3 linked regions of the Drosophila melanogaster genome follow. Changing the gene in region 2 together with the main gene of any one other region gives a genetic interaction. Each region holds a gene or a part of one and is shown on either strand. Other genes may lie near its edges.

Evidence for each region. A genetic interaction does not mean that the proteins touch.
Region 1: of hth (region 2) and cnc, changing one suppresses a phenotype caused by changing the other (phenotypic suppression), as found in Drosophila melanogaster (one study listed by BioGRID).
Region 3: of hth (region 2) and tsh, changing one suppresses a phenotype caused by changing the other (phenotypic suppression), as found in Drosophila melanogaster (one study listed by BioGRID).

Annotation. Positions count from the first base shown.
Region 1 is NT_033777.3:23,218,239-23,224,045, forward strand, and holds the start of cnc (cap-n-collar), read right to left. Parts: upstream 3,724-5,807; 5' UTR 3,608-3,723; exon of another isoform or gene 3,524-3,607; intron 2,659-3,523; exon of another isoform or gene 2,406-2,658; 5' UTR 2,179-2,405; intron 1,012-2,178; 5' UTR 670-1,011; coding exon 1-669. UniProt on the Drosophila melanogaster protein: Plays a role in posterior cephalic patterning. Probable subunit of a heterodimeric regulatory protein involved in the control of head morphogenesis.
Region 2 is NT_033777.3:10,610,984-10,616,663, forward strand, and holds the start of hth (homothorax), read right to left. Parts: upstream 3,294-5,680; 5' UTR 2,017-3,293; coding exon 2,002-2,016; intron 1-2,001. UniProt on the Drosophila melanogaster protein: All isoforms are required for patterning of the embryonic cuticle. Acts with exd to delimit the eye field and prevent inappropriate eye development.
Region 3 is NT_033779.5:21,826,422-21,832,315, reverse strand, and holds the start of tsh (teashirt), read right to left. Parts: upstream 3,724-5,894; 5' UTR 2,511-3,723; coding exon 2,458-2,510; intron 1-2,457. UniProt on the Drosophila melanogaster protein: Homeotic protein that acts downstream of Arm in the Wg cascade during embryogenesis to determine segment identity throughout the entire trunk.

The DNA.
Region 1 (5,807 bases), about 13 Mb from region 2:
CAGATTTGCATAGGGACTGGTTTGCAGACTCAAATCATTGTAGTCATAGAGATCCGCTAGATTCTGTTCCCAAATGGAACGCTGATCCTGCAGCGCATGTGGCGTGAGGAAAGTGTCCAATTCTGATGTTGGATGCAGCGGCGAATGGTTGGCATTTCCAGGGTCCAGCGAGGCGGTATCAATGTGGATTTCACCCAGTGCAGAACCACTGGTTTGACCACCCGAGGTGGGTGCACCACCAGTACCAACCACCATTGTACCGCCAGTGGCGGCAGCACTAGTGCTCTGCACATCCTGCAGAGCTGCCGTCTGGACACTGCTATTCCCGGTGGTGTTGTGGAGATTCATTACAAAAGTGCTGCCGTTGAATCTTGGCGGAAGCTTGCAGCCCCCTATGCCATTGGCCATTCCCCCCAAGGAAGGATCGTCGAAGTTTAGGAGATCCTCAATGCGGGGACTCAGTCCTTTACGATTTCCATACGGGTTGTGATCCATATCCAGGCGGTGTACCGTCCGCAGCATCTCCAGCTCCCATCCATCGCCATGGGTGCCCAATTCCAGCTGCGAGTCCCAGCGATGGAGCAGGTAATCGGGATTATAATGCAGCAGACTCAAGGCCAAAGCCAGCTGCAGCATTTTCATAGCGTACGATTTTTTGTTTGAGATCATTTTGTTGCTTTCAGAGGTTTCGATACGTGAGCGAATGGGTGCGTGGGTGACTCTTGTAGTCCGTAGTCCACCTCCGCCCGCCGCCTCCTCCTCCTCCTCCTCCTCCTCCGCTGCTGTTGTTCTTGTTGTTCTCCGTCCCGGACAACAGCTCTACGGCTGCGTCGTCCGGGATCTATGCGTTCAATGACGTCGCCTTGCCCCGCCTTCCGGCCTCCTCCTCCTCCTCCTCCTTCGGCGTTCCGAAATCTGCGCAAAAAGCTGAAAATTCGCAGTTTCCACGGCCTATCTCCCCGATTTTCCAATGCTCTTTGCTTTTAATTGATGGCTGTCCTCGGTTTTGTTCTGTAAGCAAATCAAGATGTGACAACAAATAGAATGGAATTAGTAAGCATAACGATTTGCTAACTATATGTACATATGCAAGTATGTAGATATGTAGTGTAATATTCATACATTGCCGCATGGCCATATATGCAGTTTGAATGTTAAATGAAAATGCTTTTGTTTCGAGTGGTGCAGCCTTTGTTTTGTTTGCCAGTCGATTTTATAAATTGCTAAGCACGAGGAAGTGCACCAAAGAAAGTTCAACTTCCGGGTCGGTAACGTCTTTTATTAAAAACACATCTAATTTCCACATCGCGATTATATTAGGATTCATATTTATTTAGCAAAAACGAACACAATTATGTTTTTCTGTTCGCAATTATGTAGTTAAGGTACATAAGTAATACTTTCGAGAGATATTAAAATAAATGAAAGATTGTCGTAAGGAAACATCCCTTATCTCTATTATTTAAACTTGAAATTATAAATGTGCAGAAACACTAACAAGGTTTTGCTACAGAAACACAACACATAGTTTGTTTTCATACCAAACCAAAGTGGATAGCCTAGAAAGGCTGTTATGATGATGACCTAGCGCATTTCAGCATAGTTAATTTCATATTCAGAGACAATTAAGCAGGTCAAGAATCGAATTTTCCGAAATATGTGTGTATAATACATAAATACATATATGCATGTATCCTTCTTTGGTTGTTGTTTTGTCCGAATTCTGTTTGATATCCACAACGCATTTAATATGCCCATCCTGTCCAGCCACACACACACCCCCCCCCCCCTTAAACAAGGTTAACAGACAACCGCCCACCCGAAAAAGGGGGGCGTGAGGCGGAAGGAATGACCCAGACCCAGACGAAATGGCTTTGAACTTGAACTTGTTCAAGGTCTCTCGCGAGCATTTGAAATGTGCGCAATGCGAAGTGAAGCACCCGATTCAAGGACGGACGAAAAAATTGTGTGCAAAATTCTTTCAAGGTTCGATATAAACTTTCTTTGTTTAAAGCCATTTTAACAAAAATCCAAACTTTATTTGGCTCAATTCTCAATGAAAAGATGTGCGCGAGAGAGAGAAAGAGAGGGGTAGGGAAATGACGTGTGCATGTGCGTGCAAGAGAGGGTTCTTGTGTGGGTGTGCGTGTGATTGTGGCTGTATTGCAGTGCACTCACCTCAAATTTTTTTTGGATGATGAGACCCGACTACAACGGTAAAAAAGCTGCGGCGCAGTAAATGTTCTCCTTGTTGTTGTTGCCGTTGCTTGATCTTCTTTTCCTCTTCGCTGCTTCTTCTTCCCTGCAGCACACACAATGGTTTATTGTTTACCGTTCACTTTTCTTTTGCTCTGCAAGACCTTATTTGTTTATGTTTCACTTTCTACGATTTTTACTTTTAATTGCTGGAAAACACGCGTTTTATTTATTTAACAACTTTAAATATATATTTCGCTTGTCTGCGTCCTTGAACTTTCTCTTCTGCAGACAATTTGCATTCAAGTGCCATTAAATATTAATAACAATTGATATTTGATTATGTGCCACCTGGTGCTTCTTTCTCGCCGTCTGGTACGCACTTTTGTGTGAGAGTGTGTGTGGTGGTGGTGCCGTTTTACGTGGTGAAATCGTCACTTATTTGTTAACCCTATATTGGACCTACGTCAAATTAGAATTTGAAGTCATTTGTATGTTAAGATTTTCAAGACAGCTGTAAAATTATTTAACTACGTTAAGGTACAAAAAATTGTCAAGTCCATCAAGGGTTAAAACAATAATATTTTCGCTTCGTTTGTTGTTTTTACACTGCCTAATATTTGCATGTGTTTTGCCTCCACATTGCTTTGTATTTCTTTGTTTTCTTTTATCGCCCGATTCTCGTCTCTCTCTGACTCACACACCAAAAAAAAAGACACGCACACGTTGAAGCATACAACTGCTGTTTTTTCTTGCCAATTCCAATTCGGTCTGTGCCCACAATTAATGCAATTAATTAAATGCAAAACGATTTAATTTTTTGCTGAGAATCGCGGAGAGCAAAACAAATAGGAAAAATGAAATATGGAAGCTTCGAGAATGAGCAGAGAATAACCGGCAACGGCAGCATTTCAACATTCACTCTGCACTTTGCATCAACAAATTATTTATCAAATTGCTAGTTCCTTTTCGTTCCCTATTCTTTCTAACTCGATGTTTTTCTCGATTGCATTCTGTCAGCTGAGCGGTGGAGAGGGAGCGAGAGAGGGAGACTGAGCGCGAGAGCGAGAGGGGGCGATTGCTGAATAACTGTTGTTGCTAGCCTGTTGGTCGTTGTTGTTTTGATTGCCTTTAACCCACCACCCCCACCGACAGTACCACCACCACACAATGAGTTGCACTTATTTAGTGGGGCATGCAACATTTCGCAACTGTAGTTCTTAAACGCACAACCGAAACTTTTTCATTTGTTGTTCCGGCACACAAGCACACGCAGCCAGACACGCACACACACACACACACAATTTAAGCGGCGTGTACTTCGCACCTTTACGCGTCTTCTTTCACTGTTATTTGGCAAATTATTGTCGCGTCCGCTTTGCTACTCTCTTTCGCCAACCGCCGTACCTACGTGGTGAGCTTGAAAACGTGTTTTGTTTGTTACGCCGCGTTTGGCAATTTCTCCGCCGTCGAAATCAGTCGCGATTTTCGATTGCGGCCTCAAAACATTTGAGGCAAAAAACGTCTGTCCAGCGCGGTGCTTTTATCAAGTGTGCCCAGTTGAGGCTCTTTGCAGACGATTTTGTTGAGTTTTGTGCTTTTGCGGTTTTTTTCGGGGCCGCCAAGTGCGGTCTCACCATAATACATTGTGCTTTTAACAGAAATGTTAAATGTAGCTTAAACTAACAGTGACAGAAAGAGCTTTTTAAAGGAGAGCTAGAAATGTAGATTTCGGTTACAAATGTATCTTTATTACCTACCTTTTATTTCTAGATTTAGTTTTTAGAAAGAATATCTTAAGAATATAAAGAACATATTTATATTTTCCCTAAGAGTAACTTATGTAGACATGGTGGCTATTGCAATTTTATGTAGATATGGTGTAAGCTTATAAGCTTTTGACACGTGTCCATGCAAATTTTTCAGTTAATTTGCATTAGTCATTTTTTTAACTAGTTCTACATAACAAAGTTGAAATTTGTATTAAAATTAAAAATAAAGGGATATATATAGTTTTATATTTCCTTAATATTAATTTAAAATAATTTTTTTTCATGATATTGATATTGATATTCTACATGCATGCAAAAATACAAATATCTTAACAATAACTTCCGTTAGCTATTGATATCACAAATGGATACATTTGTATTAGACTTGCTCAATAAAACAGATAGCCACACTATTCAGAACGTGTAATTCAAAATATAGCTAGAAGACTATCAATCTATCTAAAAGACCTGCTCATAAAAATTAATTTAGATTGATGGGGGTAATTTATAGATATATTGCGTTCTGAACTGGGAACATTTGTGCTGGCATTTGGATAAAGTAATTAACACCGAAGCCTTTCAATACTTACCAGATTGGTAAAATGGAAGCCACCTTTCCAAATGTTGGTCTTGGCGTTACCTGGCGTCGTCGATTGGGTGATGGATGGCGTTGGCTTGGCCAGTACAGCGGGCGTGGAAGCCACCGTGGGCTTAATCAGCTTACTCAACTTCGAGGGTGGTCCAATGGGCACCCGGACGGTGACCTTCTTCTTCGGATTCAGCTGCAATTGGGTCTGGTGGTAGGTATATTCGATGTCCTTCGCCGGGGACAAGGATTGCAGCCGAGGCAGATCCTCTAAGTCGATCATTATTGCTTATCAGCTGGCACAAATGGTGATGAGTCAATATGTCAACTGGAATGAAAGCGAACACACAGATAAGGATGGGTCACTAGGTTGACTAGGCTTTTTTTTAGGATGGTGGTTTTGAACTTAATAATTCTGTTCCGACATTAAATATAAACAGTTTGTTTTCGGCGTATAAGAAAATGTGTTTTTACTCATTTTGATCAATGTGACAGATCAAAGATATAATAAATTCATATATATTTTAGTAGCCATACTCGTGTGATTTTATTTTTAATTTCTTCGAATTCCCTGCTAGTAACTTTATCGAACTTTCACTGTAAATGAGCTATAAAAACTGATAAGCGAACTTCGACGGGTGGAATTCAAAAATGAGATATAGCCAACCTAATGGTTTGTTTTATTTGCCATTTATTGAGAAAATTACACACATTCACACAAATTCAAATGTAGATAAGTACAGTGGATGCCCAACAACAATATCAACTCCCACGAGAATCCAGAAAGATAACCGCGTGGAAACGGCATTCATTATCTATCAATTGATTTGGGAACAAAGTATTAGGTATCAGTAACCATAGAGGGATTTCTCCATTGTACACAATACAGTGGGCCCTGCCTTGGAAGAATGCAAATTACATCAGCCAATGTTCCACAGGGGGAATTTTTCGATTAGATTGGGACAATAAATGAATCATAAAATAAATTAAATTGGTCGCACTTCTAAATTTTGGGAATCAGCCATGAGTCCCTGCTATAAATTTAATCGACAGGTTCTTTATAGAAATTGGTCAAAAGATTCGTACTTATTTGTTAATCTTTTCTTCTTTAACTATTAAAATCTATGGTGTTAGCAATTTTAAATGACATTTCTATTTATAAGAAATGTACTTAATTGTGTAGACTAATCAATATTATAATTTATTTGCTCTTTTTCATAACAGCTATCATTTTGACCTTTAACGGTCTGCTT
Region 2 (5,680 bases):
TCTATTTTGATTTTGATTTTATTTCTAAAGCGAACGAGAAATACAAAAAATAGCTGAACAAACACAGTGGGAGAGGCGAGCACACGATAGACGAATTATATTTTATGCCACAAATTACGCTGCGGTTAACCTTTAAATTAAAATAACACCAAAACAATTTTTGTGCTGCATTTCGCAGGCGTTTGAAATGGCACACGAACTGAAAAATGGTGGGAAAAGTGAGGGGGCGCGGGGGAGAATGGCAGCAGCTGCAATGCACATTTTTATACAAATTGCAATTGCACATTTTTTTTTTTTGCACATTTTACACGGCCGCTCTTTCTCACTGTTTCTCTCGTTTGCTCTCCGTTTCGATGGCATAAAATAATCAAATTAAATATATATAAAAATGCATGTGCAGTTTGGTTTGAGAAGAACCCGCGAAAATTGCTTCCCGCCATTTTTCGCAAATTATAGCAGCGCAAAGTCATGGAAAATGGTAAAAATAAAATTGTAAATAATAAAACCACGAAGCGGCATAAACTGAATGGATCGCTTTTGGGCCGCTGGCAATGTGCAAAATGTGCAATAAAATTATATGCATCAAATGCACACAAACAGACAGAACACCCGTATATATTCACATACTCGTACATACATACATATATCTCTCGCCCCGAGTCGAAAAATTCATTTGATGGAATTGAAATGGCGCGATTCGGGTAAAGAGCCGCAGGAGAATTACGAAAAAGGGGATTCAAAGAGGTAAATTCGGCACAGAATCGGGTATTAAACCACAGGCGTAAATTTATTCGCCAGTAACGCAGACACACACAAAATTCCCGCGGGCATTTCTTTTTTCCCATCTCCATTTCCATTTCCATATCCATTTTTATTTTTTATATTTCTTTCTGATTTTTTTAATGCTCCCAAAGAGCATGGCCCACCTTTTGGTAACACACACACACACACACACGCTAATTGGTAGCACACACACAGGCAAACGGCCATGTTTGAGGTCTTTTTGCTCCGTTAAATAAAAATCAAGTTCACTTCGCATGTCCATGATAATCAATTGATAAAGTCTAACTGCGATTTGGTAATAATATTTTTTTGAAGAGCGGGCGAGCGGAGACTGCCGGTCACCTGATTAGCATATAATTTACGATCCAGATGGATTGTAAAAATTATTACTCCGTTTAAAAAGCGAGGCGAGAATTTATGCCTTATAAACGTGATGGAAAATGGTGGAATCATTGTGGCTATGCAACGGGGGGGCTTTTCGGAGGTGAAGGTCCCAGCCATGTTTAAACAAAAATCGAATCAACTATTGCGGTGTGAAAATGAAAAGTTAAGGGGAAAAGCTAACAATTTTCAATAAACATTATTTAATGATTTTCTAGAGTAAACCGTTGTTTAATGTAATACAATATCTATCACTATTTCGGCGATCTTTGATTTCCATCACTTCCCAAATAAAATGGTCTAGCTGCAGACTCAGTTAATTATATAAACTTGTACCAGAAAATGACCCGCATAAATCAAATGTGATTTCTGTCCTATTCCAATACACATAAGCACACACACACACACACACTCAGAAACGCTTAGTTAAAATTCATTTTGATAGGGCTCTAATAAACAAGAACTATTCCCCATTGAATTGATTGTAATGGGTTAAATTGGAGAAGCTTGGAGGCCATGTATAAGAAATATTTATATAGATCTACTTCATGAAGTTGGATTAACTAATATCTGAAGATTTTTAAAACTTTTTGCGTATTCTGGTTATAGATTGATTTGGTTACACTGGTAACATATCCATGATATGAAAACTGTTACAATATCATCATAAACTACAACCTGTAAGTGCCGTCGGCACCACTTGACTTGATTACAAATTGACTGAACCCCATTTGTTTTTTAGCCGTCGGAACTTGTTTAAGGATAACAACACTCTCGGGGGACCATTCTATATGGATTCTATATATTTAGAAAGTGAACTTTGGTGGATCTACTTACCCTGGGCTGAGCCATTAATGCTCTGGGAGCGACGTCTAACCCGATTTGTGCCACTTTTTACAGTAGGAACAACAAATGGGGGCGCAACACACTGACCGACGTCCCGCTCCGCCGCTGCAACTGCTTCGGTTTTAGGGAAGCTCTACTGTAGCTGCCCGTGTGGAGTCCTTAGATTTACTCTTGGCTTTTCCAGTTCTTCAGTTTTGGATGTTATTTTCTTGGATTTTTATATATGTTTTGCACTTTTTTCATGTATTGGGAAGCCTTTGCTTTTTGAACGCTTTGCTTCTTGATTTTGCTTTCTTTTTTTTTAACACAGGCACATTTGTTTAGATTTTATGTATTATTATTACGTTTGTATACTTGTTGTATTGTTGATGTTGTCGTTTTTGTTACGCGCGCGTTTGTTGTTTGTTTTCTAGAGCGGGAGATCTGGTTTTGAATGTTTTTTTTACTTGTGTGTTTGTTATAATAATTATTTACATAGCATTTGTTTGGTTTATAAAAATCGTATACAATTTGTTGTTGGTTGCCGTTGCAGTTGTTGTTGTTGATGTTCTTGGTATACTCGTGTATTGTAGTAGTTGCTGCAACATCATTTGTTACTGGGTTGCATTTGTTGTTGTCATAAATCCATGGCGTTTTTTCCCTTTTCCTCTCTCTCTCGTTTTGCGAGTTTCCTTGCCTTTTCCTTGGTTATTTTTATAGTAGTAGTTGTGGTTGCTTTTAATTTTTATTTGTTTGTCGTATACTCTTTTTGCTTTTTTCGTATAATATGCGCACTATTTATCACAGCTGCTTCTACATACTACGTTACTAGAGATGAACAAATTATATTGTTAATATATAATGCAATATATTCTGTTGTGTTTTTGCGACGGCAATTTGCGTGTTTCTTTGTTTTTGCGGGGGGATCGGCGGGATCCCCTCGTTGAAAGAAATTCCCTCCGCGGCCCTCAAATAACAGTATTTATTTTGGCCTTCAATTGTGAAAAGGAGAACTTTTCGATTGTGATTGAAAAACACACTAAAAAACGTGATTGTTTTGTTCGCGCGATGGAAAAACGCGCGCGATTTCCAAAGTGTTTCTTGTGTTGTTTATTTGTTGATTGATGGCAAAACGCGTGGTTAACGGGCAATAATAATAATCATAATAATAATAAACTTCACCGACGGCAACACTTTTTCGCTTTTCTTCTCTTTTTTATTCGAACGCAACGCAACACAGACACACGTCGTACGCGCTTCGCAGTCAAAAATACACTGTGCGGATGAAAGATATTTCATCGAAAAACCAACCCGCCAGATACGTTTGAATTTACGCTACAGTCGGACGTGTTTCCACTCCTAACATCGCTGTTAACTAACAGCGAAGAGAGCGCTGAGCGACAAACAACAGCAAAGTCAACGGGTGCAAGCGGTGCGGCATGATTGTCAATCATGCAGCTGCCCCGCTCTGTTCAGATGCAACAATTGTGCCATTAACTCGCTCTTGGCCATAACTCAGCGAGTGCAAGCGAGAGGAATATATGGTTTATGCGAACGCTCCGGCGAATTGCCTGCGCAGGCGCGCTCGCATCCTGGGCGACGATGACTGATTTGTTGGTACGCCTCTTCTGTCATACACACACTTGTCATTCACATGCATATACAGTACCGTACAGCGGTGTTCTATCTCTTTCTCTTTCTCAGTTTTCGCCTCTTTTTGCGCAATGTTCGCCGCGTTTGAAATTTATTTGGCTTTGGCCAAAAGGAGACGGCTTATGGGTTTTTCGCCCCTCTGCCGGCGTCGGCGTCGAAAATCAGCAAAAACCAATCCCATTTGTTATTTTCGCTTGAGTGAGTGGCAGTTGGCAGCTTGGCTCTTTTTCGCCGCACCTTTACAGGTTGAAAGGCAGCGAGAAAGCTTCAGTTGTCCATCAGCTTCAGCTTTCGCTCACTTTTCGCTCTCTTTTGGCGCCCCCACACACACTCGCACACACACACTTTTGCCCGAATAGGCAACGCCTTCGAAGAAAAGCGGCAAAAAAGAGAAGAAACTTGAAGGAGAAGAAGAAGAAACGTGGACGACAAAAACAAACTTTTCGCTGCAGTTCCTTTATTGCGTCCTTTTGGCTTGTAACGGTGATCTGGCCACTTTGGAAGGATATGCGATCCTGACAACAACAAACAGCTGTTCGAGTTTCTCCTCTCTCTCTCTTTCTTACTTCTTGGGGAACAACAACAAATGGAACGGCGATAAATTGTCAAAAACATTCGCTGAAAATTGCATATTTTGCAGGTCATTCTGCGCTCCTGTTTGGCGAATCTACTCTCATTTGGTTTTTTATATACCCTGTACAAATGGTGTTACATCTCAAACCAAAAATAAAAAATTGAGGAAACGGGCTTTTGCATTATTTGAACAAGTTTTTTGATGACAAGTATGTTTGGGCAATTTTCAGTCAATTGTGATATCTTCGGCGTGATTGTACAAATTTTTTTTTACATTTTAAACTAAAATAAATTAGTCCAATTTGTTTTACCAATAACTACAGGGTAACAAGGTATGCCAATCTTCGTATTCAGTCCGAAATCCTGTCTATTGTTGCTGTTATTGTTACTGTCGTGTCGTCGTCCTCGTGGCAGTTTAAAAAGCAGTTAACACATATTCCCAGGCCATTTTTCACCAGCGTATTTTTGGCTTGGCGCTGCAGTTGCCATTACGCCGAAAGAGACGGGGATACTGGCGAGCGAGAGAGACGGGGCGATTTGGCCGGCGTTTTTAGGAAAATGAAAAATAGCCTTGTTTGTTTTCCGACGCTCGCCAAAAGGATTTCCCGTGTCTGTTTTCGCTGGTCAAAAAGATGATGTTGCACTTAATCTGGTTGCCATTTCATCCCGAAATCCCAAACCCCCAAAATCTTGGGAACTATGTATGATATAGGTGCTCTGTTTCTGCGTCTTGTCAACACTTTGACAAATTTATGAGACTTTGATTGATTTGCGGTTGCTTTTTCCCTTTTTTCGTTTCGGGACTCGCTTTCTTTTGGCTTTTTCAGACGTCCAACTTTTGTGCGTCTGCTCGGGCCAAAAGCCAAGTAATTTATGTGAAACAAAAATCACATAAAATCGAATCAATTAAGTGCAATAAATTAGTGAAACGCTTAAGTGTGGGAACTTTTCAGACTTATCGGTGACCAAGTTAAATTCGAATAGATCGATCGACGCGGTAGCAAAGTTCAAGGATCCCAACGAAATGTTAGACAAATGAAGTTTATTTGTTTAAGAAAACTCGAGGTTTTCTGAGAAGCGCTAATTGAGGAATAGAATATACTTAGTTCGTAGAATAATACTGAGTGAAAAAATGTTTTCAGATGAAATTTAATAAGAACAGATAACTTAAATTTCGAAGAATGCAAATAAAGCGGACAGCTCCAGAAAAGCTCAAGAATTTTTGCAAATGAAGCAGGAATTTAATTTAATATTTAGAACTTTGCCAAATTGAAGGGACCATGAAATTTAAATCACCGAAAAAGGAAAATAATCAAGAAGCGAGAAGAGCGAACGGTGGGGGGGGGGGTGTACAAAAGGAGGGGCAGGAAGCGAATTTAGGGGGCTGGGCCTCCACCCAGTGAGCGAAAAAAAAATGAAAGAAGAAAGCCGAAAAGGAACCGACTCGGGAAAACCTCAAGGAAAA
Region 3 (5,894 bases), on a different chromosome or scaffold from region 2:
GCCCTCATAGCAGAGAAAACAAAAAAAAGAATAAGGAAAATAATTTGCCATCAGAGAAACCGAATCTTTAAACTTTATTTCCTACATTTGTTCAAGTGTGTAACATTCAAATCAAAACCACTTATAATTTTTATAGCACCGATTGTTTGCTTAGAAAATATTTCACAGAAACATAATTCAGCGGATTCCGTTTAGCTTATTTTGAATGATTGTCTGATTAACTTTGAAGTATATGCAAAGGTTATAAATTTTTGATGATAGCTCTATATAATAACTTTGTATTTGTGTGTGGGTGCGCATTGTGCTTTGCTGATTGGGTTTGCATTTGAAACGGACGGAAATAACCAAACTTAATCAATATTTGAACGTGAAAATCAGCCTGTAAAATCTGCCTAAGTTGGTCGAAGCGTCGAATATCAAGTAATTGTCATGTGCTATTGTGTGACGAGCGATCGTTCACCGAAAAATGAAATTCTTAACCGGCATTAAGTTGTTTGATTCGGAGGAGTTTTGTCACTGGGCCCTATCAGAAAGTCAGTGTTTAATTGATGGATTGTTTACTAACAAATCCGGCCTAGCGCAATATTGATGATATCTTAAGGAACGTCGGAACAAAATCTGATTCATGTGCAGCTTATTTTGAACTCAGTCACCTGCCAGGTGACAGTTTATCAAAGATAGTTATTACACACACCGCGCAATCACTCACCGCTAATTAGCTATCCAGATTGCAAGGGGCGATTGAGCCCGCAAACAACCCATTTAGCGGCTCGTTTCTCCATTATTTTGCTTGACTAGTATAAAATACTTGGCAACGAGTTTTCTCCGCCAGCATATCATAATCTGAAATCTCGTTATTCGATTAGGCTTAAATCAAAATGATTTATACGCAACTCCAGCAAGTGCAGTTAATTACAAGTTGAAATGTCTCATTAATAATCGAGAGAGTTGCATATTGATATGCACCCGTAACGCTCAGGCTAACTAAAATAGTGGGAGTACACCCATTGGTGTGATATGGGAGAGTTGGTTGGACCTCAGGTGAGAATATAAATAAATATGAGTTGACCGATCTGAATTTTTTTATAGTAGAATTATTGTTTAAAATGTTTATTCCCTAGTATATTTTTACTATATACTGCGAAATGAAGGTTATTAATAACAGTATATCTATTTGTGCCGAATACAACACACTGTCCCTGTTAAAGCAAATCTAAGGCACGACAAATCCGTTAAGGTAGCAGAGTAAATATTACTAAACATACACATGCACCCGGAGATACAGCCACACGCACACGCACACGCCAGCGGCAAATTGTGAACATAAATCTCTCCGGTAATAGGCGCACACGGGGAAATTGGAGGGGGTGGAGAATGGAAAAGATGGCAAGCAGAGCGTAGCGTATTTTGAGTTTTTCACTTTTTCGCATGATTTATTCAATTCGACTACGTCATCGCCTTGGAAAATCTTGAAAATTCGTGTGTATCTGCATGCAAATCAAACGAGAGCGAGACAATTTGTCGCACTTTATTATTAATACTCCAGATGCACCCCCGAATACCCTCGCCCCCGCAAATATAGTGTCATAAAACCCGTTTTTAGCCTTCAGTTAATTTGCTCAGACTCAGGCTCACTCGAGTGACTGTTCGAGAGCGAGTTCGAAAAATATCTTGAACTTGTTTAATCATAATTTCAGAGAAACCCAGATACAGATACACAAACGCTTACCCCAAGTTAGTATCCCATCATCGAACTATGGCGATTTTTCTGTTATTTTCGGATTTCCCCTGCCAGCCACCCTTTTCAAATCAAGTTCTGCTTTTCCCGATCCGAGGGTCTGGACTCGTAGTCGTGAACTCAGTACTCTTGGTTCTGCGGGTGGGTGTTGTGATATATGGGCGCGCTATTGGCGAGGCGCTGAATTTATAACGACAGGTGTGCGACTACGCCGAACCGCCAATGCCAATCATCAAATGCCATGAAATCATAGTTTCTTGATATATTTATTTGGCCGATTTGTGGTTGAGAGTCTGCAATACTATTTCAACAAGTTCGGCTATCAGTTCACAATGACAATGGTTTTTGATTTTGATTGAAAACGTTCTATATTCAATATATGTCGTATATACTTGGTATATATAATATTCTATTTAACCAGATACTTGAACGCACATAAAAAGCAATTGCAAAAAAATAATATTAACTGAATGAGATGAATGTAATTATTTTATATGTGAATATTTTGAGTATGGCCACTTTTAGTTAAGAATTCAATATTTCACTATTTCATAATGAAAAACACTTTGATGCACTTTGGTAGTAAAATCTCAGTTCGTTTATCCTTCATACCCAGAGTAGTCACATTTTTGAATCCCCCGAATAAGGCCATGTGAATCTTTTTCTTAATTCTACATCTTTCACTGTTCTATGGAAATAATCTTCCATATAACACTTACCCGGCATTTAGCGCCTGTCTGTAGATCTCGAGCATCAGAGCCTCGTGTAACATTTTTAAATTTTGCTGAATTTTGACGGTTTGCTGGAACTTGGATGGTTTGCTCTTTTTGGAGCAAACAACGAGGATTTTAGTTGGATTTTGGAACTTAACTTTAGTTTGACACAATGATCATATAATCTATTGTTTTGCACTTGGTACGTTGTAGTATAACTTGTTGTTGTTGCAGCGTATAACTGATTAATTTATATTTTTTGGATTTTGTAATTTATAAACTTTCGTATGTCAGACAAAAAATGACGTTTCGAGGCGTTTGTATTTTTAATTCCTAATTTGTGTTGATTTAAATTTAATTTATTAATTGCATTGAATCGTATACTTCGTTAAGGTTTGTTGATTTAAGTAACTGGCTTTACATTATGTATGTAGTGTAATTTTGGTGAATTAAATACCGTTTAATGTAAATATTTGCAATAGTTTATCTTTAGTTTTGGTAATAAATATATTTTTGTGGTATATTTTGTTTAGCTTGTGGTAGTTTTACGTATACTTTGTTGAACCATTTGTAGTTGTATGTTTCTCGTATGTTTCAGTCTTGATCGAGCATTTGCGTTCGAGAGTATCAAACCTCTGCTTCTTTGACTAGATATGATGGCGGCCTGGAAAACACTCGTTCTATCCTCCCCCAAAAACGCGTTTTAAACTGAGAATTCACTGTTCTGGCGGAACCGCGGGTCGCGATGCGTGCGTCTTCTCATCCGGATTCGTCGTCACTACTCGAACGAAAGTCCAAAGGCGATTGAATCCCGCTGGCCGGGTTCCTTCGTCACTAGCCTCTGCTGCGGTGCTCTGCCGGTGCGCTGCTGCTGCGCTGCCGTCGCTGTCAAGCTGACAAACAACAACAACGGGGCGCTGCTGCTCTGCCTTCACTGATTGATACGGATGAAAAAATGAAGCGACGCGACGGACGCGCAGCGATTGGAAGCTGCGCTGCTGTTGACGAGCAAACACGAAGCCCGCGTTTTGGCGACGGCAATTTCTGATTCGATTTTGCGTTCTGGCGACGGCTGCGCACTTGTGTGTGTGTTGTGTGTGCCGTGTGTGCCACCCACACCCTTGCAGGACAAGCTGGCTGTCAGCGTGATTAAATGTGCTACTCTCTCGCTCGCACTCGCCGGCACTCGGCTAACTAATTACCGTACGATTTTTCCAAGTGCGCCGAGCTTTTTCGCACGATCGTACGCAGTAACGGTTTCTTGTCGACTGACTGACTCTTGGCGAAAAGAACCCGAAACCGATGGGTAGCCAAAAGAGAGCGCGAGAGAGAAGAGAGAGAGAGAGCGACAAGAGCGCAGACTTTCCCCTGTGCTGGCAAGTGAACGCTTGGAACTGAAACAGGGGAAATCGCTAGGGAAAGAGATAGCGTTGTGGGACCGCTCCGTCTCGCTTGCTCCGAAAGTGTGTGAAATCTGTTTTGTCGTTTCGTCACCCTTCTTTTGTCCTATTCCGAATCCGATTCCATCACAATTAAGATTTATGACAGTTTAACAAAAATGCTCTCACTCGCATGCGCCGTCCTGCTCGCAGCCACTCAAACTGTGTCGGTCCCTGCTCTGTTTTTATTTCTTTTCAAAATAAACAGTAGTTGTTGCTCTCTGAGCTTTTCGCCCTCGTCACTTTTAGCCTCTTCCCTCTCGCTCACCTTCCTTCATACCCTCTGCTGTCAACTTTTGTTCGCCTTTCTGCAGCTTCTTCGTGGATCTCGCTTCTTTTGTTTCGTTGCATTGCTGTGCGAGCGAGTAGGAGAGTGAAAAAGTGGAAAAGTGGTTTGGGGCAATTTTCACTTGAAATCAACCCATTCCACTTTTCTTTTTGGCTGCGAAAACAATTGAATTAGCGACACTCCGGCCGTTCTTTCCTCTGAAAATGTGCCAAAATGCCGCGATTTTATTAGTTTTCATGGCAAGGTGTCAATGTTTGTGAATGCGTGAATGTAAGGCTGTGTAAGAACATTGATGTACATATGAAAGTATAAAGCCGAATGAAGTACAAATTTGGTTTAATAAGTGCCTTTATACAGTCTAAAAGATGACAGCATTGAATACTATTTAAATACTAGTATCATTAATACTCAAGATCACGTCTAATAAGTGCATCTACAATATTTTTCTTTGTGCCGACCCTGGTTACCTTAAGTTTATATATTGCATGTACTTTTTCACATAAATTGACAAACGTATAAAATAGTAACTTTCGATACATTATAATACATTACATTATAAAACATTATATACATTATTCTATAAAATTATCAACCGGTAACCGAGCATTGCCTTGATTCCTATGCATATTTACGGAGACGACTACTGAATCAAAATTTAGTTGCGAGGAGTCCACGAAAGGTGCCCCTACTTAGCCCAAGGCATTTTAAGCCAAGGTTAAACTTCGCTAAAACCCACCTAAACTGGCCAGTCTCCAAATGGCGTAATATCCCCTGGACTGATGTGTTAAAAATAGTGCTATTTGGTGGAACTGGTTCATATGGTTATATCTGACGACCTCCAAACACCGAGTACCACCCAAAACACCCACTGAAGACTTTCAATCACGGTGGACCTGCAATACTGGTATGGGCTTGTTTATTTTTTACAATGGTATGAGTCCATAACATATGATTTATGGTATTATAGACCAAAACGCATGTGTAAATATACTAAGGGATGTCTTACTGTCATATTCTTATTATAATATGCCCTTAAAATGGAAATTCCAACAGAATAATGATCCGAATGGCAGAAGCAAATCGGTTAAGAAAAGGTTCACCCAAAATAGAATAGATGCAATGCCGTGGCAAGCACCATCTTCCGATTTAATCCCGATTGAAAACCTGTGGGGGGACATTATACAATATGTGACGAATAATTCCCCGACGTCTAAGGCTCAGATTTGGCAAGTTGTGCAGGATGCATTGGCAAAAATTCCCCCCAAACGTTGCCAGGACCTGGTGGACTCCAAGCCGCGTAGGTGGTGGCTAACAGAGGCTATCCAACACATTAATAAGAAAAACTGTTAGTTTTAAGTCAAATTGAATTTTGTTAATATTTTTTTATTGCACTGCTCTTTCAGTGAACACCAGAATATCTGCCTATTATGTTGTTTTGATCTATATTTTAGAAAACTATTAAAGAAATAAGTGTGAAATTTTTGTTGAATTGTTGGAAATTAAATACCTAATGATATTATAAAAAAAAGCCCATCAAAACTGTAAATCATAGGATTTTTCTATATTAAACTCGCAGGTGCAAAGCACTGCTATTTTTTATGAACACAGCTGTATATTGATTTAAGTCAGAAGTTAGCATCACAATAAGGGAGACATGCGTTAGTGTAAAGTACATGTACATACATACATACATATGTACAAATAATATCTCTTTA